Linked DNA regions of Elephas maximus indicus. Each later gene encodes a partner of the first gene's protein in a complex. Links are inferred from orthologs where the notes say so. Each region holds a gene or a part of one and is shown in the gene's direction. Other genes may lie near its edges.

Region 1 (7,501 bases):
ACTCCTCTGTTTAAAATCCTTCACAGGTCCTCACCTCTAGAAGAGTCCAGGTTCCTTAGCAAGGCGTTCAAGATTCTTCATGAACTGGTTCCCAAAACCATTCCCACCTCTTCTTTTGGCAACTGCCCCAACTCCACCATGTGGAGTTGGTCACCCCTGCATACCATGCTGCTCCATATGTCTGCACTTTTGCACATGCTGTTCCCTTTACCTCAAAAGCCCCTATTCTCCATGTCCAATGGCAAACTTATTTGTCCTATGAAATTCCACTCTTTTCACAACTTCCACGAATCCTTTCCTAAGCCTTCCAGATGAAACGCCCACTTCCTCCTCTGTACCACTTCTGAATCTTGCTCAGCCTTCTATTTTCGTATGTAGTACTCTACAGTGTTTTGGAACTCTGAGCTTACTGGCAGGTCTTCCCTACTGGACTCCAAGATCCTTCAGGGGAAAAACAGTGTTTTGTCCATCTTGTTATGACTCAATGCTTGGTTTATAATGCCTGAATAATTACTCTGTGTCTGCTGAACTGAACTTAGGTTGAACAGACAAAAACAAACCATTGAGACTGTCCTGGATTGAATTGTGTCCCCCCAAAGTATTTGTCAACTTAGCTGGGCCATGATTCTCAGTATTGTGTGACTGTCCACCATTGTATGTGATTTTCCTGTATGTTGTAAATCCTATCATCATGGTGTAATAAGATGGATTAGTGGCAATTATACTGATGAGATCTACAAGATTAGGTAGTGTCTTAAGCCAATGTCTTTTGGGATATAAAAAAGAGAAGTAAACAGAGAGACATGGGGACCTCATACCACCAAGAAAGCAGTGCCAGAAGCAGAGCGAGTCCTTTGGACCTGAGGTTCCTGAGCTGAGATGCTCCCAGACCAAGGGAAGACTGATGACAAGGACCTTCCTCCAGAGCCGACAGAGAGAGAAAGCCTTCCCCTGGAACTGACACCCTGAATTCAGACTTCTAGCCTACTGGACTGAGAGAGAATATGCTTCTCTTTGTTAAAGCCATCCACTTGTGGTATTTCTGTTATAGCAGCACTAGATAACTAACACAGATAAAACAGATACCACGTAAATACATATTCACAAACATTAAGATGTATAACCATGATTAGGGTGAAAGAAATTATAAATAGCAGTAACAACAGCCATTTGTTGAGCAGTTATTCTATGTTAGGAAATGTACTAAGTGCTTTACAACAGTCATCTCTTCTATTCCTTACAACAACCCTGTGGGGTGGCCATTAGTATCCCCACTTCCCAGGTGAGAAAACTGAGGCATAGATCAATTAAAAAACTTACCCATGAGCAATACAGATAGAAAGCAGCAGAGATGAGATTCAAATCCAGATCTGACATCAAAGTCCTGAACTGGACAGTAAAAGGGCTGATAAATAAAATAAACAGGAGTTATGTTTCTAATTATCTGGCCAGGAAGGGGAGTGAGGAACAGAACATCTACCAATTGTACAAAGAAAAGTGTAACTATAGCAGCAAGGACAAAATCACATATCACTATATTCTCCTACCTTAAAAAAATAGCAGCAAGGACAAAATCACATATCACTATATTCTCCTACCTTAGGAAGAATAAATCAGGAAAAACTTTGAGAAGAAAGTAAATTTTAAAGAGAGTTGGGAGATACATCCAGGGAGGAAGAAAAGACTTTGTGAAGCTATAAAGGCAGGAAGAACGGTGGAGAGTGCCTCCATGAAGTCTTGTGGATGAGGATGGGCAAGGGGGCAACTGGTCAAAGGCTTTGAAACCAACCTCGATTTCTGCTTTGAACACTAACTGCACCACGATGAAAAATGACACACGAAGGAAAAGTTATATTTGGTTGAAAAAGAAAAAAGTTTCTAACATCCTCCCCACCCCCATTTTTACCATACCTAGCTGGTCTACTCTCATCTTAAATCTTAAGTACATATTCTTTCCCTCAGAAATGTATTTCTAGCCTACCGGTATTAGTTTTTTCATCTTTCTGCCAGAGTGTACAGTTTTCTCGGACCAGAACTATGTCTAAATGAAACTGTAAACTCTTCAGCATCAGCTGCAGTTTTAAGAGAATCTAGTGCAGGCGCTTAACTAATGTTTAACATTTGGAATGCTGATATTTGTATTATGAATGGTTAAGTTAGATAAGGTCTTATTGTAAAATACAAATTTCCAGGGAGGGAATACTTCACCATTTTTGAGTGTTAAGATGTGTAACATCTTAGAGACTATAAAATTATAACAATACTCTGAATAGCAAGCATTTACTATGGGCACAGAATGGTCTAAGTACTAGAATCGAGATAGGTTCTTAACCCAAGAAGTCCTTACCACTAGTAGGAGAGCCAGACATCCAAAAGTGACCTCAGGAACACACCAAAACCATTGCCATCGAGTCAATTCTGACTCACAGCGACCCTGTAAGACAGGGAAGAACTGCCCCATAGGGTTTCCAAGGCTTTTTTTTTTTTTAATCTTTATGAAAGCAGACTGCCACATCTTTCTTCTCCCGAAGAGTGGCGGGTGGGTTGAACTGCCCACTTTTCAGTTAGCAGCTGAACGCTTAACCACTGCCCCACCAGGGCTCCTCAGGAATACACCACTAAGTGCAAAATAACAGAGTAGTAGTGTGAAATAGAATGCTTAAGTGCTGAGGGGATACAAAGAAGAAATGTGAGCTACTTTCAAATAAGTTCTTATGTGCAGTTCAACCTAAGCAGGTCATTCAGAAATATTTATGCTAAATACTAAAATTCTAAATACTAGAAGCTGCCAGTGTCAACACCAGCCCACAACATCCCCAAGGAGAATGCTGGCCTAAGTGTCTGGAAATCTCACTCTTTAGAGCCCTCTGTTAGCACATCAATCCGAAGTTTACCTTCCGTTGCTTTGTTCTTTAGCTCTGCTCCTGGGGGAAATCTCCATCTTTCCCGGCCTCAGGTTGAAACTTGGGTCCAGGGTTCTAACTTAATGACTGAGCTAGCCCAGATTCCACCCAGTCGCTCTTGGCCAAGCCTTGGTCCTCTCAAAGGTTTTCCTCCAGAGAGATTCAATCTTCAACGCCTGCTCTCCACTTTCCAGCCTTTTCATATGCTCTTCCTCTAGCCTTTTACCCTTGACTAACTCCTTCCTAGCCCTCTCCAAAGTAGGCCCTATTATTATTATTTAAGATACTCATGCCGTTCTGAGATCCAGCTTCCCCAAAATATTCTTTCCACTCCCACCCTACCCCAACTCCTGGCTCAGGCAGCTGAATTTCTAGAGGTCGCAGTTCAATGCTTCTCCGACTCTTGTACGGCACCCTCACATCCACGTCGTATTTTCACTCGTGGTCACCCAGCGCTCTCCAAGCCAAAAATAGGGGAGGAAGGAGGTGGGCGCTCACCACAGAGCTAAATTGGGAATTCTGTGGAGCCACGGCTTCTGGAGAACGGTTTTGTCTCCTCCCGCGACATGAACGACAAACTTACTTGCAGTTCGCCAAGGGGAAGGACAATGTCTCCTTTACTAGACAGGAAACTTCCTGATGATGGAGGCTACCCTTTCATTCCTTTTACAATCCCCCATTTCCACCTCTTTGACACACAGGACAGCTCTTAAAACAGAAAGTTCTTTATCAAAATATCCCTTCCCAACTTTGAGTTTATATAATAAACGGAAACGTCCCTTAGCCAATTAGGCAACGAAGGGGTTAAATTTCAACAACCTGATGGATTCTGGGGATTTCCTACCTTTTCGCCATTAAATTAAAACTACTGGGAAGGAAAGCTTTGCCCAAGATAAAGATGAAAACCGTTAACGTCTACTCTTAGGCTTCTGCCCAAACAAGAACGGCTACCCAAGCCTACAAACGGCGCCATTAGCCTAACCAAAAATGGCTGGCCCCAGTTTCCACCAGCTATTTTTTATGCCCCTTTCTGCCCAACTCCAAAATGGCGCTCACTAGCCTCACCAAAAGAGGCGAGCAACACGCCCACCTCCCAGCACCCTCTTTGGCCCGAAACGTCAGGTGACGCGAACCCCAGCCGGAAGTGAAGGAAAAAGCGCCTCGGCCCGCGGCGCCTGCGCAGAAGACTCTAGACGCTGTGAGGCAAGAGGCACTTGGGATCGTCCGCAGAATTGGGACTGCTACAGAGGCCGCCACGGAGCCCGCCGGAGCTACCGTTCCTACTGCTGCCGCCGCCGCTGCCCGAATCGGAACCATCGGGCCGCAGCCGCCGGCAATGCCACGAAGGAAGGTGAGAGAAACGGGAGGGGAGGGATGGCGGGTTTCTAAGGCCAGTTGATTGAGCAACGTGACGCAGTTGGCCACGCCTCACAGTGGTTGGGTTCCAGCTTCCTGCTCCCTTGAACTTAGCTCAGCGGACCTCTCTTCTGGCCATACCCGACAGAAAAATGTGGGCCCGACCCTGGCCTCGGCCTGTGCTTGTGACTATTCCCGCCCTCTACTTGGCTGGATCGGAGGCGTTCTTACCGTTAATTGGCCGCTGAAACGTCTGGGAGCATATTGATTGGCTGGTGACACCGCCTGTTAGGGCTCAACGGTCACCTCCCCGCGTGCGGGAGCGGTGCCTGGACCGGCCCTACCGCGCTGCAACTGGCTGTAGGGAACGATCCCTCCTCTCTTCATTGGCTGCGTCGGGCCAATCTGTCCCGTGGGGGCGCGGTTTAGCAGGATTTCTATTGGGTGGCACGAATCCCCTCCTTTCCGGGTGGCGATGCTGTTGGTGTAGAGGCGGGGTTTTTGAGGACTTTTTTCCAGGTGGGTACAACAAAGCTGAGCGCTGGGTCTTAGGGAACCAGGGCGTGCTCCCAAGGAATACCGCTCAAGCTTGTTGAGTCTAAGACGTATTTTTCATCATTCGCTTTGCTCGGTGTAAGGGACTTAAAAGATGGTCTAGGAAACCCCTCCCCACACACTTTTTACATCTGAGTAAACAAAGTCTAGTGGTGTGCGCAAAAGCTCTCCGCAATGGCAGAACCAGAAAAAAAAAGTACACGACAAATCTAATTCAGCAATTGTTTATTGACTGCTTTCTACATGCTGGTTGCTAGAGATTCAAAAATTAATTTGACATGATCCCTGGTAAGGAATACAGACATAAATAACTAAAAGGATCTAGTGCTTGCTCTGTTTAGAGAAATACGTGGGAAGGAGGTGAGGGAGCAGTTAAGTCTGCTCTGGAGAAAGATGGAGGAGTACGCTGCCAAAGAGAAGGGCAGAGTTCCAGGATCAAGCCAGGGAGGAGTGGTCAGAGATGATCAGGAACTCAAATATCCGGGTAATTGGACTTGATTAAGACTCCACCTTCGTCCCACTGATTCTCTGTGACACTTTCCCATGGCCTCAGTTCACTTCTGGGCTGAGTTCAATCTGATTACCCTTAAGCTGGGTGATAGTCTTGCTTGTTTTTGCAAGAATTTTTATAGAGGCTTTCAAATAAATGTGTATAGTTTATGATGTCTCCTAAAATGATCTGAGCTGTAGGTGGTATTTATGTTAAGGCTCACCAAATGCAGGAATAGTATCAGTACCTTGCAATAGGTCCACAGTTCCCTTTTTTGCAATTCCCAAATACAAAGAGCAAGTTTTTTAGTAACTTGTTTGGTGACAAAGCCTGCCCTAAACTGTCTTGAGGCTATTTATGGTTTTTATGTATCTATTTAGTGTGATTGTATAGTTTGCTGTGGAAATAGTAATGTGTTGCTTATAGAGTATTTGTAGGATCTGTGCAAAAAGATTTTCCTTCCCAAAAATCTGTGCAAAAAAAGTATTTCTTTTCCCACAATCTATAAAATTATGAATTTGAAACAGCTGGCCCCCAGAGTTTTTAATAAAGGATCCAGGACTTGTAGTTTGAAGCTTTTTTTGTTTTTAGGAAGTATTCTTTTCTTTCTGGTTTAATAAAGGGTATGGTGTTAATACTCATTTGATGAAAGTTATCCTTATGGCTAATTACACCTGAGGACGCTAATAATTTACAAATGATCATTAATTGAAAAGATGATAAATCACCTCCGTGTTCGAATACCTTCTAATCTTCATTTGCCAGCTGCCTTTTTCAGCACTTTGGATATTCATGCAAAGAAACTTCAAGGCTAGATGACATAGAAGGAATTTGTATCTTTTTCTCTTTCTGCTTCAGTTCTCTTGAGATCAGTGCTGTGGACCATGCTATTTTGTTTTTTTGGTTTTACATTGTTTTTTAAAGTGTGATAGCTATCAATGGAGACTTTGAATAAAAGCTACTCTAAACTGAAATGGGGCCCAGCACCAACATTTTTCTCACTACCTTGAGCTTTCTGTAGGTGCATGGTTATGTCAGCTAGACCATTTTCAGTTGGGTATTTTTATTTCTAGTTTGTGGTACTGGTCTCCAAAGGGACTTGTTTCAGGATTAGTGATATTACACTGTTACCTGTCTGTTTTCATTTACTTAACAATGGCACATTACTTGTAGGTTGTTCCATATAAATGTCCTAAATAAAGGGAAATTGGCTCTGGGCTGGGAAGGGAACTGTTTGTGGAATCCTTTCTTAGGTTTGAACTTGATGTTTTCAGCATCATGGTACATTTTATTTCCAGTGTTAATACAGACCCACAGAGTAAATGCTTCTGTACTAATGTCTGGATCTATGGTGTTACAGAGGAATGCAGGCAGTAGTTCAGATGGAACCGAAGATTCCGATTTTTCTACAGATCTTGAGCACACAGACAGTTCAGAGAGCGATGGTACTTCCCGACGATCTGCCAGAATCACCCGCTCCTCAGCCAGGCTGAGCCAGAGTTCTCAAGGTAAAAGGCTTCATGCTTCCTGACCACTCCTCAGAGTTGACTGACTGGTTAGCACATTATTTTTCTAATAATGTGGCAACTGGTCTCTTGGCTTGGTGCAGATGACAGAATCTGGTGAACTACAAGGAGAATAACTGTACAAGTATCAGGTCATATGCAAAAGATGGAGCATAGTGTTCTTAAAAGGTGTCATTGGCCATGCCCTGGACATCTGAAACAGCTAGAAAATGCTTGAGCTCTGGGTGTCTTAAGGAGCCTTGGTGGTACAGTGGCTATACACTCAGCTGCTAACTGAAAGGTCAGCGGTTTGAATCCACCAGCTGCTCCAGGGGAGAAAGATGTGGCAGTCTGCTTCTGTAAAGATTACAGCCTTGGACGCTATGGGGCAGTTCTACTCTGTCCCATTAGGGTTACTGTGACTCGGAATCTGCACAGTACCAACTGGTTTGTTCGTTTGTTTTTTTTTTTCCATGTGCCTTTTGAATTACTGTACTTGATGACCATGGAGTTGCACAGCTCCTGGGGGGCACCATTTACAGCGTAGCTTATTCATAGCAGTCTTCTCTAAAACAGAACTTAGACTACATTATGAATGCACACCCCATCCCCTGGAAGTGTGCAGACTGATGACTTGCTGTGTGCTAACCTTCTTCACCCAAAAGTTGAGTTTGTTTCCTTTATTGGAAAAT
Region 2 (7,716 bases), on another chromosome or scaffold:
AGGTTCAACTTCAGAATTTTCAGAATTGCTGTTTTGTGGTTTCAGTCTTAATAACTCTAAAGAAGATCCTTTCCCTCTGTAAAGTGGCAGCGTCAGACCTTGTCTAACTTCAGGAGGAGGAGAGAGAATCACCATCAGCCCAAGGCTGATTCCCACGAGGAACCCTTTTTACCAACCCTTTTTACCAACTCTGACACCATCCTTCCTGCCCATGGCACTCTCACTTCTCTGCAGAGTTCAAAAATTCAGTTACAACTCCGGGTTCAGAATCAATACGGCAGTAACAGGGACAACTCAGGGTACAACTCGTCCATCAGGACAGCTTCTCCACCTTGCCTAGGCAGGCCTCTGCTGCTGGGCAAGTCTTACAGCTCTTTAGCTCGCCTTTAAGGGCCCAGGGGCACCCCGTCCCGCCAGGAAGCCTCATGCCTGAAGGCGCTCAGCTCTCTTGCTCAGCAAGTCCTCTGCAGCCATCTGCTGATCCTGCGATGCTGCTGCTGTGCTCTCTCTTGCTATCTCACGCTGCTGCTGTGTGCGGTGTCACAGCTCTGTCTCCTGGTTCTAGGAGGCTCTCAGTGCAGGAACCCTGAGTCCAGAGGACACGCTTTGCTTCTGGCTCTTCTTGATGACTGTGAGGTCTCCCCTCAGTCTCTGGGATTTGCTTTTTATAAACCTAGTGGGACAGCAAAACTGCACTATCCCCTTGGTGGGATGTTGTTAGGTGCCGTCGAGTCGGTTCCAACTCATAGCAGCCCTATGCACAACAGAATGGAACACTGCCCGGTCCTGCGCCATCCTTACAATCGTTGTTATGCTTGAGCTCATTGTTGCAGCCAATCCCGGCAAGCATTTTACATGCCTTATTTACGTATCATTTGGAAACCCTGGTGGTGTACTGGTTAAGCGTTCGGCTGCTAACCCAAAGGTTGGCAGTTTGGATCCACCAGGTGCTCCTTGGCAACTCTTGGGGGCAGTTCTACTCTATCCTATAGGGTTGCTATGACTTGGAATCAACTTGACGGCAATGGGTTTGGTTTCACTCAATCATTTCGCAGAAGTTACAAGACCATGGCTAAAAGGATCATATAAAAGCAATTCACTGCACTGAACCCTCTGGAAGTTTTTGAGCTATTCTTTTTTAAATTAAAAAATTTTATTGTGGCAAGATGTATATAACATAAAATTTGCCACCTAATCATTTTTAAGTGTTCAATTCAATGGCGTTAACTATATTCAAAATGTTGTGCGACTGCCATCACTCTGTTTCCAAAACCTTTCATCACCCCAGAGAGAAACTCTACCCACAAAGCAGTAACTCCCCATTCCCCCCTCCTTCCAACCCCTGGTCACCACTTCTGTCTCTAGGCATCAGCCTATTCTGTATATTTCACATAACTGGGATCACGTATTTGTCCTTTGGATCTGGCTCATTTCACTTGACATGTTTTCAAGGTTCACCCAAGTTGTAGCACGTATTAAAATTTCACTCCTTTCTATGGCTCCATTGTACACTCCTATCACACTATGTTTATATATTCATCTGACAAGGGACAGCTGAACTGTTCCCAAGTTTTGGCTATTGTGAATGATGCTGTAGTGAATGTCGGTGTACAAATAATCCGTTTGAGTTGCTGCCTTCAAGTCTTTTGAGCGTATACCAGGGGTCGAATTGCTGTGTCACGTGGTAATTCTACGCTTACCTTTTCGGGGACCCACCAAACTGTTTCCCACAGAGGCTGCACCATTTTAAAATCCCACCAGCAGTGGACGAAAGAGCTCGTTTCTGCACATCCTCTCCAACACTTGTTATTTGCTGTTTCCTGATACTGGCCATTGTACTTGGAGCTATTCTCTTTGTTCTTGGAAGTCCAGAGCGTCACACTGACATGCCTCTATGTGCGTCTTTTCCTTCACCCCTCCTGGCCATCACTTTGGCTGTTTGTTGAGAAGTTACTGTCCCCACGACTCTCTCCTGTTCTGTGGAAAAGGACTCCACGCGTGTCTTTTCATCTTCTCCTCCACATGACAGTCTGAGTTTTGCTCTCTGCACATCGTCCAGCTTGTTGGTTTGTACCTGGTTTGGCCAAGGTGAACAAAGGCACCTGGAGGAGATGAGGGTGTGGGCCCCGTTCGGCTATCTTCCACTGGTGGCTGCCCTGGCACATGTGGACTCTGACAGACACACATCTGTAGAGTGGAGGCGAATTCTGCAGCTCCTGCTGGTGTGTGGCTCCTGGGTCTGGTGTAGGAACCAGCTTTGAGGTGAGACCCTGTTTAAGGCTGACCACAGGGTGACTTTGGCTGCTGTCCTGACCCAATCTCCAAGCCTTCACTTCCCAACCCATAAACTGAGCACAGTAAAGTCCATTTACTGGCCAGTAGGCCTGTGGCACTTTGGCCCTACCTGGGACACTTGGTGGACAGGGCCTTCCTACTCCCAATAAGGCATTGGATGGAGGCCCTTGTGGTGGACCCTGCCCTGCCTGTCCACGTGGAGTAAGGCAGCCTGTCCTGGGGCAGGGTAGGCCCTCTTCTTCCCCGCTGCCACAGGCTGGGCTCTCCACACAGCCAGGAGCTCCTTCACCCCTACGGGACTAACTGGGAATCTTCCCAGGAAACCAAGGAACCACTAGGTTTCCCTCATGTCTCAAAACATTTTGGGACTTAATCTCAGGATGAAAACTGTCATGCCCTCATTGGATTTTAAATAGCAGCCAGTTGGGAGAGTAGGACTCCGCTCTCAACTCCTGCCCCAAGGGCTGTTTTCTGGAGAATCTTAATATGGTATCTGGCTGTTTTACTGATCCTAGGTAAGGTGTTCAGGACCTAATTAGTCCCATATTGGGTACATAACAGTTAAAAGAAAAGCGGGGGCTTCCTCTATCTCCCCTCAGGGGCCCTCTTTTGGTCCTCCTCCTCCAGCCTGGGAATCTTTAGCTCCCCACTCCCCCACCTTCACCTGGCACCCTCTTCCCTGGTCCAGCCCTCCGTCTCCCTCATTGCCCCAACCAGCACCCCACATCTGGCTCTCCCTCAGGTTCCCACACCTACCCGGCACAGCCCCCACCCAGTCACTCCCCTGTGGTTACTCCCCTTGCTGGTGCTCTCCACTCCCTGCCCAGGCCCCCTTCCCTCAGTTCTCATTTCTCTGACAGGGGTCCCCACCCCGGACTCATCACCCCCTTAGGTAATCCCCCTTCCTCAGCTCTCACCCCACTTGGCAACCCCTCAGGTTCCTCTCAATAACCCCCTTCCCTGGTTCTCCTCAGTCCCCCACCAGCGCCCCCACCCCAGTTTGGCCCCACTTCAGGTCTCCCTCCTCCATGCAGCTGCCCCCTCTCTCCACCCCCTCAGGTCCCCCCAGCCGGTCCAGGCTCCTCCCAATGGCACCCACTTAGGTCTGCCCCTCCTCAGGTTCTCCTCACTCCCCGTTCGGGGTCCCCACCCCGGTCCAGCTACCACTTCCGGTGCCCCCCCAGGTCCCCTCCACCCTGGTAAGCCCCCACTCAGGGCCCCCTCTCAAGCCAGCCCACCCCAGCGGCGTCCCTTCAGTCCCCCCCTCCCCAGCCCCCTCAGGTCCCCCAATCCCGGTAAGCCCCACTAAGGCTCCCCTCAGCCCTGCCGGTGTCCCTTCCCAGCGTCCCCTCAGGCCCCCCAGTCCCGGTAAGCCCCCCCCGAGGCCCCCCTTGCCTCCGTGGGCGCCGCCTCAGTTTCCCCCTCCCTAGCCCCCTCGCCTCGGCCCCTTCAGGCCCCTCAATCCCCGTAAGCTCCCAGCCAGGCCCCTCTGCCCCGCCGGCAGCCTCCCGCCTCGAGCCCGGGCCGCGCGTCATGGCGGTGGCGGCGGCGGGGCGGCCGGGGCGGGGCGGCGGCGGGCGGGGCGCGTCTGCACGCAGCGCGCCGGGCGGAGCGCTCGCCGCATTGTTTGCTTCGCTGGGGAGCGAGCGAGTGGCCCGGCCCGGGCGTCCGAGCAGCCCCGCGCCCCGCGCCCCGCGCCCCGCGCCGCCGCCGCCCCGGCCGGGCCTCCTCCGCGAGCGGCCTCCCCGAGCCGGCCCCGAGCCGGCCCCGAGCCGCTGCCTGAGCCCGCGGCCGCCCCGCCGGGCCCGGAGCCGCCGCCGCCGCCGCCGAGAGGAGCCCGCGCCCAGGAGCGGCGGCGGGGCCGGGCCTGCGCGGCCGTTGGCGGAGGAGCCGCGGGCGCCATTAGCGCCGCCTCGGCCGCGCCGGCTCCCCGCGCCGCCCGCCCGCCCGCCCGCCCGCCCGCCGGGCTCCCGCGGTCGCGGCGCCCCGAAGGTGAGTGGCCGGGGTCCGGGCCGGACGCCGCCCCCCGCCTCGCGGGCCGCCGGCCCCGCCGCCGCCCTCGGCCGCGGCCTCTCGTGGGCTTGTTGTGCGGACGCCATGTTTGGCGGCGCATTGTCCGCGGGCAGGGCCGGGGCGGGCGGGGGCGGCCGGGCGGCGCTGTCAGCGGGGCCGGGCGGCCGGGGAGGCGACGGGGAGGCCGGGGGACGGCGCAGGCCCCGGGCGTCCGGCCGCGGCGGCCCGGCTCGGCCCTGCCCGCCGCCGCGTTCGCTGCCCGGTCCCGCCGGGGGCCGCGATGGCGGGTCGGACGCTGCCGCTGAGGCCGCTGCTGGCGGCGGGAGCCTGGGGGGCCGTGGGCTCGGGAGGTCGGCGCCTTTTCCGGCCCCGGCCCGGGGAGGAGAGGCTCTGCAGGCCGGGCCCCGGGAGGAGGAGTGGGCCGGGCCCTGGGAGGAGGAGTGGGCCGGGCCCCGGGAGAAGGAGAGGGCCGGGACCCGGGAGGAGGAGTGGGCCCGGCCCTGCCAGTGGTCAGCGCCGAAAGCCTCGGCCCGGAGCCTGCACCCAGAGCCTGCACCCACGGTCACGTTCTAATTACGGCCAGGAGAGAATCTCATTGTGCTCCCCGTCGGTTGCATGCATATCTCTTTGACGTGCTGGTTGCATTATGTAAAACTCTGTTTTGCCAAGACAGGAAACTCCCTGTTAACAGGGACGTGCTTTGAAGATTTCTTAACAAGAAACGTTGGCAAACCTCTGCGGATTTTCTCAGTCCCATGCTGTGCAACATTTGCTGGGCTCGATAAGTTGGGTGTAGAGATGGTCTCAGGAGCAAGTGGCTATCAGTCAGCCATTCCTGCAGATTTGGGACTCGGGATGAAGCACTGGGTAGCATTGTCACTCAGCACCTGGAAGTGAATCGGCATCCTGGCTTTCCCGGGCCTCTCTCGAAGAAGTAACTTTGTGGAGGTATAACTTACGTATATCTCTTAGTAGTACACAGTTGAGTTTTGACAAGTGTGTGTACATCCAGGAAACCACCACTCCCATCAAGAGCATTCCCAGCACCCCAAAAAGTTTGCTCCTGCTTGGGTCTATTTTTAAGGGCTTGTCACTGCTTAAAATATAGTTTATGAAATCCTGGTACTATATATTTATCTGGCTTGGTACCCAGAGTGCTCCTTAGAAGTGAGGATGGCGAGAGTTTGTCTCACAAACTCAGGACATGTTATCACCAGGGACCAGTCCCTGGAGAAGGACACCATGCTTGGTAAAGTAGAGGGTCAGCGAAAAAGAGGAAGACTCAAGATGGATTGACACAGTGGCTGCAACGATGGTGTCAAACACAGCAACGATTGTGAGGATTGTCCAGGACGAGGCAGTGTTTCGTTCTGTCATACGTTGGGTCGCTAGGAGTCAGAACTGACTGGATGGCACCTAATAACAGCAGCACCTGTGCTGCCAGGCACTGTTCTTAGTGCTCTGTATGAACCCATTTATTCTTCACACAGCTCGATAAGGTGTCTGTTCTTCCCATTCCCACTTTATAGCAGAGCAGGCAGTGGCTAGGGGGATTTAAATGACCTGTCCAGAGCCAGGCAGGGAATAAAACTAATTTGAGCAATGTGAGCTGATACCAGTCTGGCGTTTCCTGTCCTTCGTGGCTCTGCAGGATGGATTTAGCAAAATTATTTCCCAAGACACATGCACACACAGTTACTGTCCTTGCTGATACTGTCCTTGCTGATCCCCTTCTCCTGCAGTGCTTGTCCCTGTACAGAGTATGGAGGGAGCTGAGGGCCAGAGACAGACCTGTGGCTCAGGGAAATGATGGGACAGTGAGGCCTTGTGTCGTCCTGAGCTGGACCCTGCTGCTAAATGCCTTTTTCCCTGGTCACAGTTATGCTTCCAAATTACAGAGCTGCTGTCACCATTAAGTGTTAGGTTAAATTCTTCGTGTAGAATGTGGTCAGATAAAGGGTTTCAGTACCCATTTGGGAGGGTTTAGATGTTGAAGGGCTTATTATAGTTGGAGTTTGTTGGTGCTTTGCTGGAGAGGAGAAAATTATACCTTTGTTTTTAATCTGGCGAGTAACCAACTGTTGCTCCTGCCCCACCTCAGTAATGACACTGTGAAGCTATCCCTGGGTGCGTTAGGGTCCCCTCCTTGAAGGCTGTGGTGCTGACATCCTGGGGCTGTGCCTAGCTCCACTTGGGAGGCATTTGGGCTCCTGCTGGCTGGTGGGCTCCTCTGGCTGTACCTATGGGCGTGCGTGCTGGTAGAGGGGGCTCTGCTGACGGCCCAGAGGAGATCCAGGATTGAGGGGCACTGGGGGGCCCCTCAATTGCGGGCAAATTGGGGTTGGCTGACTATGGTGTTTGCCATTCATAGAAATTCCTGTGTCGTCTCAGTATTAGAGGTGGGTTTCTTGTCGACCAAAGAATAAGAAAACCATCATCTGAAGGGCCTGTCTTAAACAGTGTGCTCAGGATCTGCTGGGATTTCTTTTTGGGACCTAGGAAGTGCAGTCAGCTTGAGTCAGTGGGAGGCTGTGGATTCTGGCTCCCAAGGTGCCCCTCGCCACCTCGACGTAGCCAGCCAGGCACAGCAGCCAGGCCCTGGGTTCTGTACGGAGTATCAATGAGCTGATCTCTTAAAATTATTTTGCTTCCTGTAAATAAAATGTTCCCAGGGAGAAGTCCGAGTGGTCTTCTCGTTGGCGCCCAGCACGTACCCCAAGGTGACACCCTGCTCGGCACGTGGGTCCAGAGTTAGGAGGCATCTTTATCAAGGAAGCCCTAGAAACAGGCAATATTCAGACAGTGAAGGGATGGGGCGCGCTCACTGATTTCGTCCGTGTCTGAGAAGAGCAAATTCTCATAAATCTCTACGGTTACCTGTTCAGGCACCTGGGCCAGCCACCAGCCTTGTGGCATGGGTGGCTGCATGGTGGGGGCTCTGCAGCAGGTGGGGAGCCAGTCCGGACCAAAGCTGAGCTCTGCGGAACTGCTGTTTCTCACCATGTCAGGAAGGGGCAGAGATGTATGTCACACACCTGTGGCCTTTCCTTGAAAACCAGGGAAGAGGACACAGCCCAGCTTAGCGTTAAATCCTGGGGCTGAGAGACCACCCAGTGGTCCCACTGCTGTGGCCCCTAGAAGCTGAGCTGTATCCTCCCAGGGTGAAGATGGTCTCCCCGTAGCACACAGGGTTTCCCTCTTGGACTCTGACGTGGCCCGTGGCCTCATGGCTTACAGCGACATGGAGGAGTAGTGGGCTGGTCATGGGAATTCATGCTCTGAGGGCCTGCTGTCATCTCGGTCACCTGTGACTGGGTCTAGAAAGGAGGGTATGTGCCTGCAGGTGCCTCTCACAGAGCCATGCTGCCTGGGGTGGTTCACCGGGAACACCAGGGCCACTCTGCTGCC
Region 3 (8,334 bases), on another chromosome or scaffold:
AAATGATTATATCTCCAAGAACTCTGTTTCATCTCAATTTTTTTCTGTAAAAAGTTAATGATTTGTGAGACTTTAATAAAGATTAAAGAGTTATAATTAGTCTTATCATTATGTTAACATTTCCAAGGTTAACCTTAAACAGTAGCAGAGGCCTGTGGGAACCTGAGGGCCTTAATAGGGCTTCCAGACCTCAGCAAGAGGTATCTCCCAAGGATCTTTTAGAGGCCCTAGGTCTCACCCAAAATTGGGGAACGCCTCAGAGGAAAAGAGGCACCAGTAAAATCCTGCTCAGTCTTGCCAAAATGGCGATCAGGCCCCTACCTCCAATCAAATACAACACTTTTTATTTCTAGCATTGTGGTAAATGGAAACCTATGTAGTTTCCATAGGCCTTGGGGTCAGCTGGACCCAGGTGCCCATTCTGCCACCACTTATAAGCTATGTGGCTGTTGATAAGTTACTAACCCTTTCTGAACAGGTAAGACAAGGTTTTTTTTTTTTTTTTTTTTTTTTATAATAACTTTTATTAAGCTTCAAGTGAACGTTTACAAATCCAATCAGTCTGTCACATATAAGTTTACATACATCTCACTCCCTACTCCCACTTACTCTCCCCGTCTTGAGTCAGCCCTTTCAGTCTCTCCTTTCTTGACAATTTTGCCGGCTTCCCTCTCTCTCTATCCTCCCATCCCCCCTCCAGACAAGAGTTGCCAACACAATCTCAAGTGTACACCTGATATAATTAGCTCACTCTTCATCAGCGTCTCTCTCCCACCCGCTGACCAGTCCCTTTCATGTCTGATGAGTTGTCTTCAGGGATGGTTCCTGTCCTGTGTCAACAGAAGGTCTGGAGAGCATGACCGCCGGGATTCCTCCAGTCTCAGTCAGACCATTAAGTTTGGTCTTCTTATGAGAATTTGGGGTCTGCATCCCACTGCTCTCCTGCTCCCTCAGGGGTCCTCTGCTGAGCTCCCTGTCAGGGCAGTCATCGATTGTGGCCGGGCACCAACTAGTTCTTCTGGTCTCAGGATGATGTAGGTCTCTGGTTCATGTGGCCCTTTCTGTCTCTTGGGCTCTTAGTTGTCATGTGGGCTTGGTGTTCTTCATTTTCCTCTGCTCCAGGTGGGTTGAGACCAATTGCTGCATCTTAGATGGCTGCTTGTTAGCATTTAAGACCCCAGACGCCACATTTCAAAGTGGGATGCAGAATGATTTCATAATAGAATTATTTTGCCAATTGACTTAGAAGTCCCCGCAAACCATGTTCCCCAGACCCCCGCGCTTGCTCCGCTGAGCTTTGAAGCATTCATTTTATCCCGGAAACTTCTTTGCTTTTGGTCCAGTCCAATTGAGCTGACCTTCCATGTATTGAGTGTTGTCTTTCCCTTCACCTAAAGCAGTTCTTATCTACTGATTAATCAATAAAAAAACCCTCTCCCACCCTCCCTCCCTCCCCGCCTCGTAACCACAAAAGTATGTGTTCTTCTCAGGTTTACTATTTCTCAAGATCTTATAATAGTGGTCTTATACAGTATTTGTCCTTTTGCCTCTGACTCATTTCGCTCAGCATAATGCCTTCCAGGTTCCTCCATGTTATGAAATGTTTCAGAGATTCGTCACTGTTCTTTATCGATGCGTAGTATTCCATTGTGTGAATATACCACAATTTATTTACCCATTCATCCGTTGATGGACACCTTGGTTGCTTCCAACTTTTTGCTATTGTAAACAGAGCTGCAATAAACATGGGTGTGCATATATCTGTTTGTATGAAGGCTCTTGTATCTCTAGGGTATATTCCTAGGAGTGGGATTTCTGGGTTGTATGGTAGTTCTATTTCTAAGTGTTTAAGATAACGCCAGATAGATTTCCAAAGTGGTTGTACCATTTTACATTCCCACCAGCAGTGTATGAGAGTTCCAATCTCTCCGCAGCCTCTCCAACATTTATTATTTTGTGTTTTTTGGATTAATGCCAGCCTTGCTGGTGTGAGATGGAATCTCATCGTAGTTTTAATTTGCATTTCTCTAATGGCTAATGATCGAGAGCATTTTCTCATGTATCTGTTGGCTGCCTGAATATCTTCTTTAGAGAAATGTGTGTTCATATCCTTTGCCCACTTCTTGATTGGGTTGTTTGTCTTTTTGTGGTTGAGTTTTGACAGAATCATGTAGATTTTAGAGATCAGGCGCTGGTCGGAGATGTCATAGCTGAAAATTCTTTCCCAATCTGTAGGTGGTCTTTTTACTCTTTTGGTGAAGTCTTTAGATGAGCATAGGTGTTTGATTTTTAGGAGCTCCCAGTTATCGGGTTTCTCTTCATCATTTTTGGTAATGTTTTGTATTCTGTTTATACCTTGTATTAGGGCTCCTAGGGTTGTCCCAATTTTTTCTTCCATGATCTTTATCGTTTTAGTCTTTATGTTTAGGTCTATGATCCACTTGGAGTTAGTTTTTGTGCATGGTGTGAGGTATGGGTCCTGTTTCATTTTTTTGCAAATGGATATCCAGTTATGCCAGCACCATTTGTTAAAAAGGCTGTCTTTTCCCCAGTTAATTGACACTGGTCCTTTGTCAAATATCAGCTGCTCATACGTGGATGGATCTATGTCTGGGTTCTCAATTCTGTTCCATTGGTCTATGTGTCTGTTGTTGTACCAATACCAGGCTGTTTTGACTACTGTGGCTGTATAATAGGTTCTGAAGTCAGGTAAGGTGAGGCCTCCCACTTTCTTCTTCTTTTTCAGTAGTGCTTTGCTTATCCGGGGCTTTTTTCCCTTCCATATGAAATTGGTGATTTGTTTCTCTATCCCCTTAAAATATGACATTGGAATTTGGATCGGAAGTGCGTTAAATGTATAGATGGCTTTTGGTAGAATAGACATTTTTACTATGTTAAGTCTTCCTATCCATGAGCAAGGTATGTTTTTCCACTTAAGTATGTCCTTTTGAATTTCTTGTAATAGAGCTTTGTAGTTTTCTTTGTATAGGTCTTTTACATCCTTGGTAAGATTTATTCCTAAGTATCTTATCTTCTTGGGGGCTACCGTGAATGGTATTGATTTGGTGATTTCCTCTTCGGTGTTCTTTTTGTTGATGTAGAGGAATCCAAGTGATTTTTGTATGTTTATTTTATAACCTGAGACTCTGCCAAACTCTTCTATTAGTTTCAGTAGTTTTCTGGAGGATTCCTTAGGGTTTTCTGTGTATATAATCATGTCATCTGCAAATAGTGATAACTTTACTTCTTCCTTGCCAATCCGGATACCTTTTATTTCTTTGTCTAGCCTGATTGCCCTGGCTAAGACTTCCAACACGATGTTGAATAAGAGCGGTGATAAAGGGCATCCTTGTCTGGTTCCCGTTCTCAAGGGAAATGCTTTCAGGTTCTCTCCATTTAGAGTGATATTGGCTGTTGGCTTTGCATAGATGCCCTTTATTATGTTGAGGAATTTTCCTTCAATTCCTATTTTGGTAAGAGTTTTTATCATAAATGGGTGTTGGACTTTGTCAAATGCCTTTTCTGCATAAGACAAGGTTTTTGTAAGGATGAAATGGAAAGGCTTGCAATGCACAGCACACAGCAGGTGCCCTATAAATGGTCTTCCATTTCCCTAGGTCATTTTATAAATGTGTGCCAAGGTATTTTCCCATTCCAGTTCATGGGAACCTGATGGCTAGGAGGAGGGAGCCTGACCTGTCCTCTCCTGCATATAAATGCTCTGCAGCCAGACCCAACCAGAGCAGACTCCCTGGACTCTGCCACTGTAGTCTGGCCCTTCCCTCCTCCTGCTGGGCCCTAGACAGTGTGGCTGAAACTACCGTCTGGACCTTGACCATATATTATGGTTTTCTCCCCTGGCCTTTTCTTTTGCTTACACTGGGAGATTTTATGTGTGTCTTTATAGAGAGAAAAACAGAAATTATTGTCCCCAGTTTTCCAGTGTTAAGAGCTTTCAGAAAGTATATTCACCCTTCCAAACATCCACACCAGAGAGAGTGCAAATATGGCCTCAAGAACCCTCGAATCACTCCATTCTACAGATGAGGAAAAAGAGGCCCATTCATTTGCCCATACCACACAGCTTCTGCTGAATGGCAGAGCCAGGATTAGAACCCAGGAATTTTACCATTTTGCTACAGTACCACAACCCTGACACCTGTTTCCAGGCACTGAGTTTGGGCTTAGGAAAATTCTGTCAATTGCCAATGAGAGCCAGAGCCAGGTCTAACCAAGAAGTGATACCCATTCCCTCCTCTTGCTAGAGGAGCCTCCCCAGACTTTGCCAATGTAGGCCAAGGATGAGAAATGTTGCAGTGACTCCCTTGAGCTCATATTTCTTTCTTGTTGCAAAAAGTGCTTATTTCAGCATTCATCATCTCCCTCTTTGTTGTGTAGACAATCTGCCCTGTCAGAGGATTTGTGCTGTTATTATGAGTTTGTTTATTATTAGATTTATTTCTCCTATAAGCAAATGTGTTCACAACATTCCATCGGGGAATCTTCTTAATTGTCACATAAATGTCATTTCAAGTGAACTGAATATTTATCTTTCCATAGAAGGGTGTGTAGAGGGGAAAGAAAGAATAAACAACCCTCAGTCTTGGAGAGAGAAGGAGGTTCCCGTACCCATTCACAACTCACCCACGTGCCTTCAAAGCCAAAGGTGAGCTGAAAAAAATTCTTGGATCATCTTTGAAGGGCAGCCAAGAAGGGGGGGGATAAGTTGGCAGTGATGCTTTGGGGATGTTAAGCCGAGCTCCCAGGTCTCCCCCTTCTCCTCCCCCGCCCGACACCAGACCACCCCCTCCCCAGCTAGGGGGCAACCGGAGGAGGCTGCAGCTCCATCCAGGAGACCAGCCTTTCTCCTTCCTCGAGAGAAGGTGAGCGCGGCGGGCGCAGCAGGCTGGGTGGGTGTGGCTCCGGGAACGGCCCCAAGGCCCAGCCACCGCCCGCGAGCCGCCCGCCCGCCCGCCCGCCCGGCGAGTGCAGGCTCTTCTTCCAGAAACTGCAAGGATCGAGCGCACTGTTTGTGCACCACAAGGTCAAGTCGGGAACTGGAGCCGGAGGAGGAGGGACGAGGAGGCGAGGGGTGGGGAGAGGGGCGCCCCGCTTCCTCGCCAAGTGCCAGTCTTTGGAAGTTGCCCCTCGGTTTTTAACCCTTTAGGGGGCACTGGAGAATGGGGTGGTGACCACGGGGGACGGTGTTACCCTGGGGTAAATGAAAACTCCTACCGGGGTCAGGACGTGCACCCACCCACCACCCATCACCGCGTTCCCCACCCCCCGGAAATGCGGGGCAGCAGTGGGCACCAGGAGGCACCCTAGCAGGGGGAGGGGGCGACGACCCCGAGAGGGACCCTCTCTACGGACCGCCCCTCCATTCTTGAGGTCGCCCATAATTTCAAGTTTCCCCCGCCCGGATGTTAGTTTCCATCTGCTGTGGGTGGAGGAGGAGGGCCGCGCCCCCTCCTCTAGACTCCCGCGTGCCCCTCCTCTCCGCTCCTGCCCACACTTTCTGCTCACTTCTGGTGCTGCAAAACGCCACGCGATTTATTCGATTCGTATTTTAAAACCAGCGATTCAGGAGCTGGGCCTAGGGCGAGGGTCTTCTAACGCTGGTTCCCCGGGGGGCGGGGTGCTCAGTGCAAACCTCGTTCCCTCCGCGAGTGTCGCCTTCAGGCTGTTATTTGCAAAGAAACGTCTTTTTGACGCAGGGAGAAATGGCAAATTTTAAGTACGTCATTAATATGGCGCCAAAAGATTTTTTTAAGTATAAGCTTGCCTTTTTTTTTTTTTAAGGTTGCGGGGGGCGCCGCCCGGGTCTGGGGAGCGAAGGGGGCGGGGTGTGAGCAGAAAGTGTGAGTGAGAGAGTGGAGGGGCGGGGTATGTATGTGAGTGTGTGAAGTGTGAGCAGACCTGATGGGACTTGCACGGGCGCTGCTGCCGCTCGGGCCCTGCCCTGGGGACAGGGCGGGCTGGGGGCGCCCCAGAGCCCGTGGGGAGTCCAGGCCCGGGGTGTGGGCAGGCGGCGGCCCGGCAGAGCACCCTCCCCCTGGGACGGGTAAAGCTACCTGGACCCGCTGCGGGAGCCAAACTGGGCGGGGGGAGGGGGAACGGACGATGGGGGCTGTCGGCAGAGATCGGAGTGAATAAGAAAAAAGTGGCTACTCCCCCTCCCTCGCTCCTCCCGCCCGCCCCCACCCCCACCCCAACACATTTTTTTTTTTTTCTAAAGAGATCACAAGGAAGTCTTGGTTTAAAAAGAAACAGAAACATACACAGGGGGTTGGTGAATGGTGCCGACCGCGGCCATCGCAGTGGGAGGCTATTTTGGGGGGGGGTAGTAGCGTCCATGGAGTTACTTTGCGCCCACTCATAACGGCGCCGGCTTGGGTCCGGCGGACCGACAGTCCTCTGCAGGGGCGCGGGGCCGGGGACGCCGTGGGCTGGGTTGCCTCCCTCGCCGCGACCCCGGATGGATGCGCGCCCCCCGCTCGCCCGCGCCGGCCCGAGGAGCTCCGGGTTTCGGGAGCATCCTTCCCGCTTCGGCCCCCGCCGCGGCGCGTAGCCGAGGGCAGCGCCCTTCGGGAGGGCATCACGTTGCAAGGTAAGATCCAGTCCCCGGCGGATGGGCCCTGCGCATCTCCACGGCGTTATTTTGTGTTTTTGCAACAGATCTGCCAGCGCTCCTTGCTCCCTCGCTCTCTCTCTTGCTCGCTCGCTCCCTCTCTCTCCTGCTGGCTGCCTGTTCTAGGAAGCCAGCGCGCGGGGGGTGGGGGGGATGCACAGCACAGGGGAGAGAGATTGCGCATGTTGGTCAGTCGTGTTTTAAAGAGTACAGTGCGGGGAGGCTGAGAGGGGCGCATGCAACAACTTTTGGAAGGGTGAGCTTGGCGACCTTCTTTATTAATGACTGCGGCAAAGCGCCCCCGGACCGGCGAGGGGGCGCGGGCGGGCGGGGGCGCGGCGGGGCTGCAACTTGCCCCGCGGGTTCGGGCCGGGCGGAGGAGCTGCGGCGGGGTAAGGGTGCGGGGGGAGGTCAAGTGCCTTTTGGGGGGGAACACTCGGAGGACCCGGAGCTATCTGCCCTCCTGTCGCCCTGAGTTTCATTTTGTTGATACGCAGCACGTCCGGGCGCCGAACCGGGTTGACCGGTGCACATGACCCCGCGCAGGGCTCACGTGCAGCGGGTCCGGCCCCAGACACCTTCCAGGGGCCACAGCCTCCGCCCTGTCTCCCCCTCTCTGGGCTGGGTGCACGCGGGGGCAGCACGCGGGGGCAGCATGCTCGGCTCCGGGGCGCGGAGGCTCTGCACAAATTAGACACAGTTTTTTGGAGGGGCGTGGGACACCCTTTCCAGGTGAGTGTGGATGGTGCTCGGCCCCAACGTAGGGGGTGCAGGCTGGGGTCTAGAGCAGCTCCCCCTCCAGGGCTGCGCGGGAGTCCAGCGGGGGAGAGGCGCTGGGAGAGTGGAAATGTACCGGCGGCGGCCGGAGCGGCGGGTGCGCGCCCGCGGGGCGACGGCAGGGGGCGTGGCCCTTGTTTACCTTCTCCCAACTCTGCTGGTTCGCGTCCCGCTCTGGGGACGGCTCTGCAGTCCCCTGCCCTCTGCCTCCGCCTCTGCGCCCTGGGTGGTACCAGGAAGATGCAGGCAAGCGGCAGCCCCTGCCTGGGACGCACACACCTGACCCCCAAATGAGTGATACTGCAGCCCCTGCCCCCACCAAGCACCGCTGCAGTCCCTCTGCCAGATCCCCGGCCCCGCCCCCGGCAGTGGCATCTTCCCGGCCTCACCTCCTTCCTCCCTCCCTCCCTCCCTCCCACCCACTCGCCTGCGTCTGCGGAGCGGCTCCCGCCCGCCGCCTCCTCGCCTGGGTGCAGACTTCTAGCACCCTCCGGTCCCTTCCCGCCCATCCCTGAGCTCTGAGACAACCCCTTCTCCCGACTATGGGATAGGAGGGGTTAGCCTGGCGAGTCTCGGCTTTCTGTCGGAGTATGGGGATGTCTGTGAAACCCGCAGGAAGGCTTCACTCTAGCTTCCAGAGGCCCAGGAACTCCCCCCACCCTCCCGCCCCGCCAACCCAGTCGCCCACAACACACTGCTACCCACCCCTCAAAGGGCGCAGCTGCCCTTCCCTGCATCACCTTCCACACCGGCGTCACGCCCACCTCCCTGCGCCGCCCGGGGCCCGAACAGCCTTTTGCCCTTCCTTCGCTTGGGCCAGAGCCCCCCGCAGCCACCTCCGGCTCCTCCTCCCTGCTCCCGCGGTCGGAATCACGCCGGCGCGCCTCCAGCCTGCTGTCCCGCGGATTGCCTCCAGGGGCAGGCTG
Region 4 (8,007 bases), on another chromosome or scaffold:
CTTTTTCCTCCTGAGTTGTTTTCAATCATGTTAGATTCTTAAAACAAAAATTATAACACCTTCTGATGTTGGGATCAATGTATGTAGAAGAAATAGATAAGGAAATTATATTTTAAAGTCACTCACACGAAAATGGATCAATGTCCTAAATATAAGAAACAAAACCATTAAATTCTTATAAGAAAACATAGGGGTAAAGCTTCAGGACCTTGTTTTTGACAATGTATTTTTAGGTATGACACCAAAAGTATGAGCAACAAAAGACAAAACAGATAAACTGGACTTTATTAAATTCCAACTTAACATTAAAAACTTTTGAGCATTACAGGACATTATGAAGAAAGCAAAGAGACAACCCAGAGAATGGGAGAGGCTACTTGGTAACCACATATCTAATAAGGGTTTAATATCCAGAATATGTAAAGAACTCCTATAACTCAACAACAAAAAGGCAACCCAGTGAAAAAACAGGCAAAGTACTTGAATAGACATTTCTCCAAGGAAGATATACAAATAGCCAATAAGGACATAAAAAATGTTCAAACATCATTACTCATTAGGGAAATGGAAATCAAAACCACAGTGAGATACCAGCTCATACCCACTAGGACGGCTATTATCAAAAAGAAAAAAAATTGGAAAATGACAAGTGTTGGTGAGGGTGCAGAGGAATTGGATCCCTGTAGCATAGTTGGTAAGAATGTAAAATGATGTAGCTGCTGTGGAAAACAATTTGGTGGTTCCTTAAAAAGTTAAACATAGAATTACCATATAAATCAGCAATTCCATTCTTAGGTATATACCCAAAAGAATTGAAAGCAGGACTCAAATATATACCTGTATACCAATGTTAGAGCAGCATTATTCATAATAGCCAAAAGGTGGAAACAACCCAACTGTCCATCAACAGATGAATGGATTAAAAAAAAAGTTATATATATACACACACACTGGAATATTATTCAGCCATAAAGAGAAATGAAATTCTGATACATGCTATGACATGGATGAACCCTGAAAATATTATGTTGAGTTAATTAAGTCAGACACAAATGGACAAATATTATTTGATACCAGTTATATGAAATACGTAGAATAGGTAAATGCATACAGACAAAAGTTTATTGGTGGTTACCAGAGGGCGTGGGGAGGTGAGAATGAGGAGTTATTGCTTAAGGGGTACTTAGTTTCTGTTCGGGGTGATGAAAACCTTTTGGACACAAATAGTGGTGATGGTTGCACAACATGGTGAATGTAATGAATGTCACTAAATTATGACTCTGAATTGTGACAACCACTTAAAATAGTTGAAATGGCAAATTTTTGTTTTGTATGTTCTACCACAATAAAGTTTTTTTTTTTTTAAAGAAAAATACAGTTTGAGGGTAAAGGGACCTAAATAAAAATAAGATTTCTACACTTTAATGGAAGTGGTAAAATGTCAAGAACAGTAAGCTGTGATAAATTCCATATGTATATTTTAATACCTACAGCAAACACTGAGAAAACTATACAAGGTGATTGTCTTAGTTATCTAGGGCTGCTATAACAGACATACCGCAAGTAGATGGCTTTAACAAGGAGAAATTTGTTTCCTCACAGTAAAATGGGCTAAAAGTCCAAATTCAGGGCTTCGGCTCCATGGGAAGGCTTTCTCTGTCCACTCTGGAGGAAGGTCATTGTCCTCAATCTTCCCCTGGTTGAGAAGCTTCTCAGATACTGGGACCCCGGGGCCAAAGGATGTGCTCTGCTCCCAGTGCTGCTTTCTTGGTGATATGAGGTCCCCCGTCTCTCTGCTCCCTTCTCTCTCTTACATCTCAAGAGATTGCCTCAAGACACAATCCAATCTTGTATATTGAGTCCTGCCTCACTAACACAACTGTCACCCATCCTCATTAACATCATAGAGGCAGGATTTACAACATATAGGAAGATCACACAATACTGGGAATCATGGCCCAGTGAAATTGATACATACATTTTGGGGGGGACATAATTCAATGTATGACAGTGCTATTCTCAAAAACAGTATAAATAAGTCAAAATGAAATTCAGAAAACGTTCAATTAACCCATGGGAAGGAAAGAAAAGGGAAACAGGAGTATAAAAAACAGGGGAAACAAACAAAAAACAAATAATAAAATATCAGACTTAAGCCCGAACACATCAATAGAGCTAGGTGAAGATTTCTTTGTTATGATACCAAAAGCATTTTGCATTTTCATAAGTGCAAAAATTGACAAATTGTACTTCATCAAAATTATAAAATTTTGGTCTTCAAAATATCTTAAGAAGATGAAAAGACCAGCTACATACTGGGAAAAAATATTTCCAAAGCACGTATCTGAAAGAAGACTTACATCTATAAAAAAAAAAAATTTCATCTATAATATATAAAAAATTCTAAAATGTAACAATAAAAAATAATCCAGTTAGAAAATGGACAAGCTACATGAACAGACATTTCACTGAAGAGGATATACAGATGGAAAATAAGCACTTGGAAAGATGTGTAACATCATTAGCCATTAGGGAAATGCAAATATTACTACACACCTATAAGTACGGCTAAAATAAAAATATAGTGATGATACCAAATGCTGGCAAAGATGTGGAGAAACTGGGTCTCTCATACATTGCTGGTAGGAATGTAAAATGGTATAGCCAGTCTGGAAAATTGTTTGGCAGTTTCTTATAACACTTACTATATGATCTAGCAATTGCGCTGCTGGACATTCATCACAAAGAAATAAAAATTATATTCACACAAAAACCTCTACATGAATGTTTATAGCCACTTTATTCTTAAGCCAAAAATTGGAAACAACCCAAATGTCCTTCAGTGGATGAATGGTTAAATGAACTGTGGTACATCCATACCATGGATAGCAATATAAAGGCATGAACATGCAACAGCTTAGGTGGATCTTAAGGGAATCACCCTGAGTGAAGAAAAGCCAAACTCAAAAAGTTACATACTATATGATTCCATTTATGTGGTTTTCTTGAAATGACAAAATTATAGAGATGGAGAAATGTTAGGGGTTGTCAGGGGTTAGAGAAGAACATGGCTGTGACTTAGGGTAGCAGGAGGAATCTTTGTGCTACAGGAACAGTTGATTGTGGTAGTTACAGAAATCTACACATGTGATAAAATACAGAAACAGAAATGAGTACATGTACAACTGGCAAATCTGAATAAGGTCTGTGGATTGTACCAACATCATTATCCTGGTTTTGATGTTGTATTAAAGCTATGTAAGATATTACAATAGGGGGAAACTGTGTGAAAGGTACACAGGACCTCTCTGTAATATTTTTTGCAACTCTCTGTGCATCTATAATTATTTCAAAATAAGTTAAGTACAATGAAATGAGGTAAGTTTGAAGGACTATATTTTAGAACAGACACATTTGTGTATTATGAAAATAAAATTACATCTTTAATATGGAAAACAGGCAAAATACAAGAGCCTTGACATTATTTATCCTAGAAATGTAAATGAAATTGACTATATGAATTAATCATAACTGCACATAATATATTTCCAAACCCAGATAGGTAAATCAAGAAGGTCTGTTCCTTAAACATTTGCGTCAGGGTTCAACCAGAGAAGCAGAACCAGTAGGAGATAATAGAGAAATGTGATTTTATATATATCCCAAGCCCCTATACACACACGCATATATGAAACCCTGGTGGTATAGTGGTTAAGCACTACCGCTGCCAAAAGGTCGGCAGTTCAAACACACCTGGCAGTTCAAACACACCAGGCGCTTCTTGGAAACTCTGTGGGGCAGTTCTACTCTTCCTATAGGGTGGCTATGAGTCAGAATCAACTGGACGGCAATGGGCATATATATATATATATGCATATATATTCATTCATATATTTATATTTATTTAATTTATTCATTGCAAGCTACTGGTTTACACTACTGCGGTGGCTGGCTAAGCACATCCAAAACTTGTAGGGCAGGCAGGAAGGGAAGATCACGGGCAAGTTGTAAACCCTGGGCACAGACCAAAGCTGTCTGTCATCCATAGGCAGAATTTCTTCTCTTTTGCTCACATTCTTGGAAACCTCGGCCCTGCTTTTAAGGTCTTCCAACTGATTCAGTCAGGCTTACCCAAATTATCAGAATACTCTCCCTTACTTTAAAGTAATTGATTAGGAGTTTTAATTATATCTGCAAAATACTTTCACAACACCTAGATTAGTGTTTGATTGAATAACTGGGAACTGTAGCCTAGCCAAGTTGACACATCAGAAAGCCACACAATATCATAAACCATTTGTACTTGTTTTATTCTGGTAAAAGCAACCTTGGCTGTATGATTATAGCTAATTAAAGCGCAAACGACCTAAATCAATAGTGGCTGAAAATAAGTTTCATATATGAGAGTCCCACTTATAGAACTTTAGAGCTGGGGGGGATGGAGAGCTGCGCTCGTATTTCAACACAACCAAAGCACTTCCACGCCGTGCTACAGCACGCGCAGCAGGAAGGGAGAGGAACCTACCTGGAGCATAGCGGAGCGGGTGCCGGCTCACAAAGGGGGCGGAGCTTCGAGACCCGTGGCGGTCGCCGTGGCGCCTGGCCCGCCAGAAGAGCGCCGCCCGCAGCCGGCGAGAGCCAGTAGCGGAGGGTGAACGCCGCCGCTGTGGGAGGGGGAACGGGGGGGGGGTGGCGAGGAAGGAAAGGGAAGAGGCGGAGCGTGGGAGCGCACAGTGTCAGGAATACAATAGTGCTCCGCGCCGCCTCAGCTGCCGCTGCCGCCGCCGCTGCCGCCGCCCAACCGCCAGCGCTAAGGCCCTGAGGGGCCGGGAGGGCGAGGGCCTGAGGGCGGGAGCTGAGGCGCGGGGGGCGGCCCCGGCGGATCAGGCTGCCGGGGAGGAGGGGCGGGGGTAGGGAGGGGATTAGGGGGCAGGTGCGAAGGAGGGAAGAGAAGAAAGCAAGCGAGTAGGGGGGCGGGTACCACCCTCACCAGACTCGCCGGCACATTACTGGCCCCAGCGAGGAGACGGGAAGGAGCCGCGACCCAGCTACGCAAAGGTAGGCGCCACAGACGCCGGACGCGGTGCCAGCGGGTTTGCGGGGCGTAGCGTCGGGCCGGCAGCGGGAGTGGAAGCGGCCGGAGCGGAGCGTCCCGGCCGGCCTCGCAGCCGCTCCAGCTCCACACTGCTGTCGCGGCCGGCGTCCCCAGTGCCCTCGGGCCGAGAGCGTTCGTTACCAGGATAAGGTGCCTGGCGGCCCTTCTCCCGGCCCGGGCAGTGCCTGTCGACCGGCGCGGGGGCGCGGAGGGAGGACGCTCGAGCTCGACCGCAGCCCCTGACTACTCCCGGTAGGAATTGAGCGCCATATCTGTTGTGGTTCCCTCCGGTGCTCCCTCTCGCGCCCTCTCCTTTCCTGCCCTCTGCCGGCTTTCGGAGCTCACAGGGTCAAACCCCCGGCGGGAGGACCTGCTCTGCCGGCCGCGCTGGGCCAGATGCTCTGATAAAGCCAGGGAGGACCGCCCTGGCTGTTTCGATATTGGGAGGCAGGAGGAACCGACTGCCTGGAGACGGGCAGACTGGTGGTGCGGGGAGCGGGCGGGGCCCCCAACGAGGCCCGGTGCCTACGGAGCGGGAACGCGGGCGCCCCGAACTTTCCCTCCCCCTCGCGTCATTGTTCGGACGCTGCCGTTCGGCTGCCGCCGCTTCCGCCGAGCGCTAGGCGGTCCTGGGAAAATCGTGAGGGCTTTCCAAGTCTTACGTGAAATTTTCCCACCTCTGGGCACGGCAAAGTTGTTAACTTTTCTGCAGCTATCAAGTTAGTTTTATTCCTTCTTCGTGGGGCAGTTAATTAAAAAGAAGAGCCTCTCCAATCTTTTTCTCTCGCCTTTTTTTTTTTTAAGTTGGATTTAAAACGCACAGGATAACCTAGGTTCATTATTTGTGAGGTGGGAAGGGGGCCGGATCTCGAATGAGTGACCGTAATGGTGGTATGTGAAGGCACGTTTAAAAGTTGATATTATTGTGTAACCCTGGGACATATGTAGCTCCTAGAGATTTGGCAATATACTTGTTTGGCCGCTTCTTTGACTCAGAAGAGTTGCAAGGAAATCCATGGCCTTAGGTGTGCGTGAGCTTTTCTTGATGTGTGATCGGTTATCTGAAGCTGAGGATGAGACACCACCACCACCTCCGCCAACCGATTGTGTGAGAAATCAAAACCGTGTTGATGGTGATTCCAGTGGCTTGGAGGGAGAGGCGATCTCATTCCCTGTATTCAGTCTGATAAAGATGACTGTCTCCTCTAAACCCTGAAATTAACGAAAAATGATTTAGGTAAAAGCTGGTTGCACAACATCTTGGCTTAGTTTGAGCAATCCCAAAATTCACTTTCCCAGAGTAGTTCTCGTTTTAAATACCTTCCCTGCAGCCGCTTCTTGTCAGCCAGAGGGAGAGAGTGAAAGCGTAGTTGGCCTGAACAAAGCATTGCATTTTTATTTAGTTTAATACTTTCATAACATCTGTAAACAGAGGGAATGTGAATCCTGGCCTTTGTATCCTTTGAGTAGAGTAGTTCTCATGCTTTTATAGAATCATGTGATTACTTTTTGGATGAGTGAAAATAGAATTTTTCTTTTTCGTTTGGCCTAGGAGTGTTTTATCTCCATAACGTATCATTTTCTCTCTCGTTTAAGGAGAACTCTGAGCTTAAAAAAAGATCCCTGGGGGCACAGTGGTTAAGCGCTAGGCTGCTAACTGAAAGGCGGGTGGTTGGAACCCACCAGCCACTCCACAGGAGAAGGATGTGGCAGTCTGCTTCTGTAAAGGCTACAGCCTTGGAAACCCTATGGGAGCAGTTCTACTCTGTCCTATAGGGTCGCTGTGAGTTGGAATTGACTCGATGGCAACAGGTTTGGTTTTTGGTTTTCCAAGCTTAAGTACCTGAGCTGTAAAAGGATATGACTACATGAGATCTTTGGGAAGTGCTTCTCGGTGCCGAGCACATACTAAGCTCTCAGTCAGCGTTAGCTCCAGTGATTGCCATGTTTTCTTCAACTTTGCTCTTCTGCACAGTTTTGTTTGCTAGAGAAGAGCTCTTAACCTAATATTGTTGCCTTGAAACAGCTCCTTGCATACTCCCTCCAGTCAGTTCTGGGGTGCAGGCCTGTTCTAGAATCCACACTTCCTATCTCCCCTCTTTTATGAGTCATATTGCTTTGGCAGTGTGGTAAGTGCCTTCTCACCTGTTGTTAGTTGCTGCGGAGTGGATTTAGACTCATGACTGTGACCAGTCTTGGTCACAGGTAGGGGAAAGTAGAGAAGGGCCTCCAACTCCTCCCTAAAGTGTTTGTGATTAGCTGGGAGCCAGCAGTGATTTGGAAGCACCAGACTTAGGGATGCCTGCTTTTGGGCCTGTAGAGGAGATTCCCAGGACCGGGACAGGTGATGGTACAGGGCTCTCATCATAGCTGAGAGCTGTGGATTGCAGAGTATTAAAATAAAGAACAAAGGATGTTGAAATGGGAGGTTGAGTATGATGCTCTCCTTTGATAATGCTTGTCTTTTCCCTCCCTTGTGATCCACCAGCCATAATGACCCATTTCTCCCCAAACCTGTACAAAGTCATCTCTTCTTTTTGCCTACTACTTTGAGGTCTGCCTGGATCTGGGCAGGTATTTATTTTTGGGGGGTGGAGTGGAGGAGGCAGGAGGCATCAGTGTTTGTGAAGACATAGCATTATAGACGACTCTTTCAAGCCTTGATCAGGGGTACAGAGATCAGGGCTAAAAATGAGGTTGAACATTATCATAGGACATAACACATCTACCTCCTCATCTACACCTCATCAAGCTCCCACAAAATAGGAGCAGAGGAAGGTAGAGGTCATATGCTGACTTATACTAAGAAAATCTCTCACTAGGGGATAAATTACCCTGATCTTTTTACTAGGTTAAGGGTAGGTGTTGGATCATGCACGTCTGGAGTGCTCCTGAAATAGCTTATATGGGGG

What was found.
Region 2: the proteins of KAT7 (region 1) and BRD1 are in contact, whole or in part, in a crystal structure (PDB 5GK9), measured with the Homo sapiens proteins. The link is inferred for Elephas maximus indicus from reciprocal best matches to the Homo sapiens genes KAT7 and BRD1. Residues at the interface, in NP_008998.1 of Homo sapiens: Leu531, Phe534, Gly536, Lys537, Glu538, Ile539, Ser540, Ile541, Lys542, Pro552, Val553, Val556, Gln560, Leu565, Tyr567, Lys571, His572, Leu573, Val574, Leu575, Lys576; in XP_047297239.1 of Homo sapiens: Val40, Ile42, Glu43, Ile44, His49, Arg50, Ile51, Ser52, Ile53, Phe54, Asp55, Pro56, Leu57, Glu58, Ile59, Ile60, Leu61.
Region 3: KAT7 (region 1) and JADE2 share a complex: the UniProt entries of both Homo sapiens proteins name them as parts of the HBO1 complex. The link is inferred for Elephas maximus indicus from reciprocal best matches to the Homo sapiens genes KAT7 and JADE2.
Region 4: KAT7 (region 1) and JADE3 share a complex: the UniProt entries of both Homo sapiens proteins name them as parts of the HBO1 complex. The link is inferred for Elephas maximus indicus from reciprocal best matches to the Homo sapiens genes KAT7 and JADE3.

Annotation. Positions count from the first base shown.
Region 1 is NC_064837.1:43,821,204-43,828,704, reverse strand, and holds the start of KAT7 (histone acetyltransferase KAT7), read left to right. Parts: upstream 1-4,069; 5' UTR 4,070-4,239; coding exon 4,240-4,254; intron 4,255-6,664; coding exon 6,665-6,812; intron 6,813-7,501. UniProt on the Homo sapiens protein: Catalytic subunit of histone acetyltransferase HBO1 complexes, which specifically mediate acetylation of histone H3 at 'Lys-14' (H3K14ac), thereby regulating various processes, such as gene transcription, protein ubiquitination, immune regulation, stem cell pluripotent and self-renewal maintenance and embryonic development.
Region 2 is NC_064822.1:195,899,163-195,906,878, reverse strand, and holds the start of BRD1 (bromodomain-containing protein 1), read left to right. Parts: upstream 1-4,248; 5' UTR 4,249-4,287; intron 4,288-4,568; exon of another isoform or gene 4,569-7,716. UniProt on the Homo sapiens protein: Scaffold subunit of various histone acetyltransferase (HAT) complexes, such as the MOZ/MORF and HBO1 complexes, that acts as a regulator of hematopoiesis.
Region 3 is NC_064820.1:146,948,895-146,957,228, forward strand, and holds the start of JADE2 (E3 ubiquitin-protein ligase Jade-2), read left to right. Parts: upstream 1-4,984; 5' UTR 4,985-5,044; intron 5,045-6,254; exon of another isoform or gene 6,255-6,909; coding exon of another isoform or gene 6,910-7,312; exon of another isoform or gene 7,313-7,363; intron 7,364-7,550; coding exon of another isoform or gene 7,551-7,687; intron 7,688-8,148; coding exon of another isoform or gene 8,149-8,318; intron 8,319-8,334. Other genes in the region: WW domain-binding protein 11-like, read right to left, coding at 6,910-7,312, 7,551-7,687, 8,149-8,318. UniProt on the Homo sapiens protein: Scaffold subunit of some HBO1 complexes, which have a histone H4 acetyltransferase activity. Acts as an E3 ubiquitin-protein ligase mediating the ubiquitination and subsequent proteasomal degradation of target protein histone demethylase KDM1A.
Region 4 is NC_064846.1:125,006,152-125,014,158, reverse strand, and holds the start of JADE3 (protein Jade-3), read left to right. Parts: upstream 1-4,918; 5' UTR 4,919-5,347; intron 5,348-8,007. UniProt on the Homo sapiens protein: Scaffold subunit of some HBO1 complexes, which have a histone H4 acetyltransferase activity.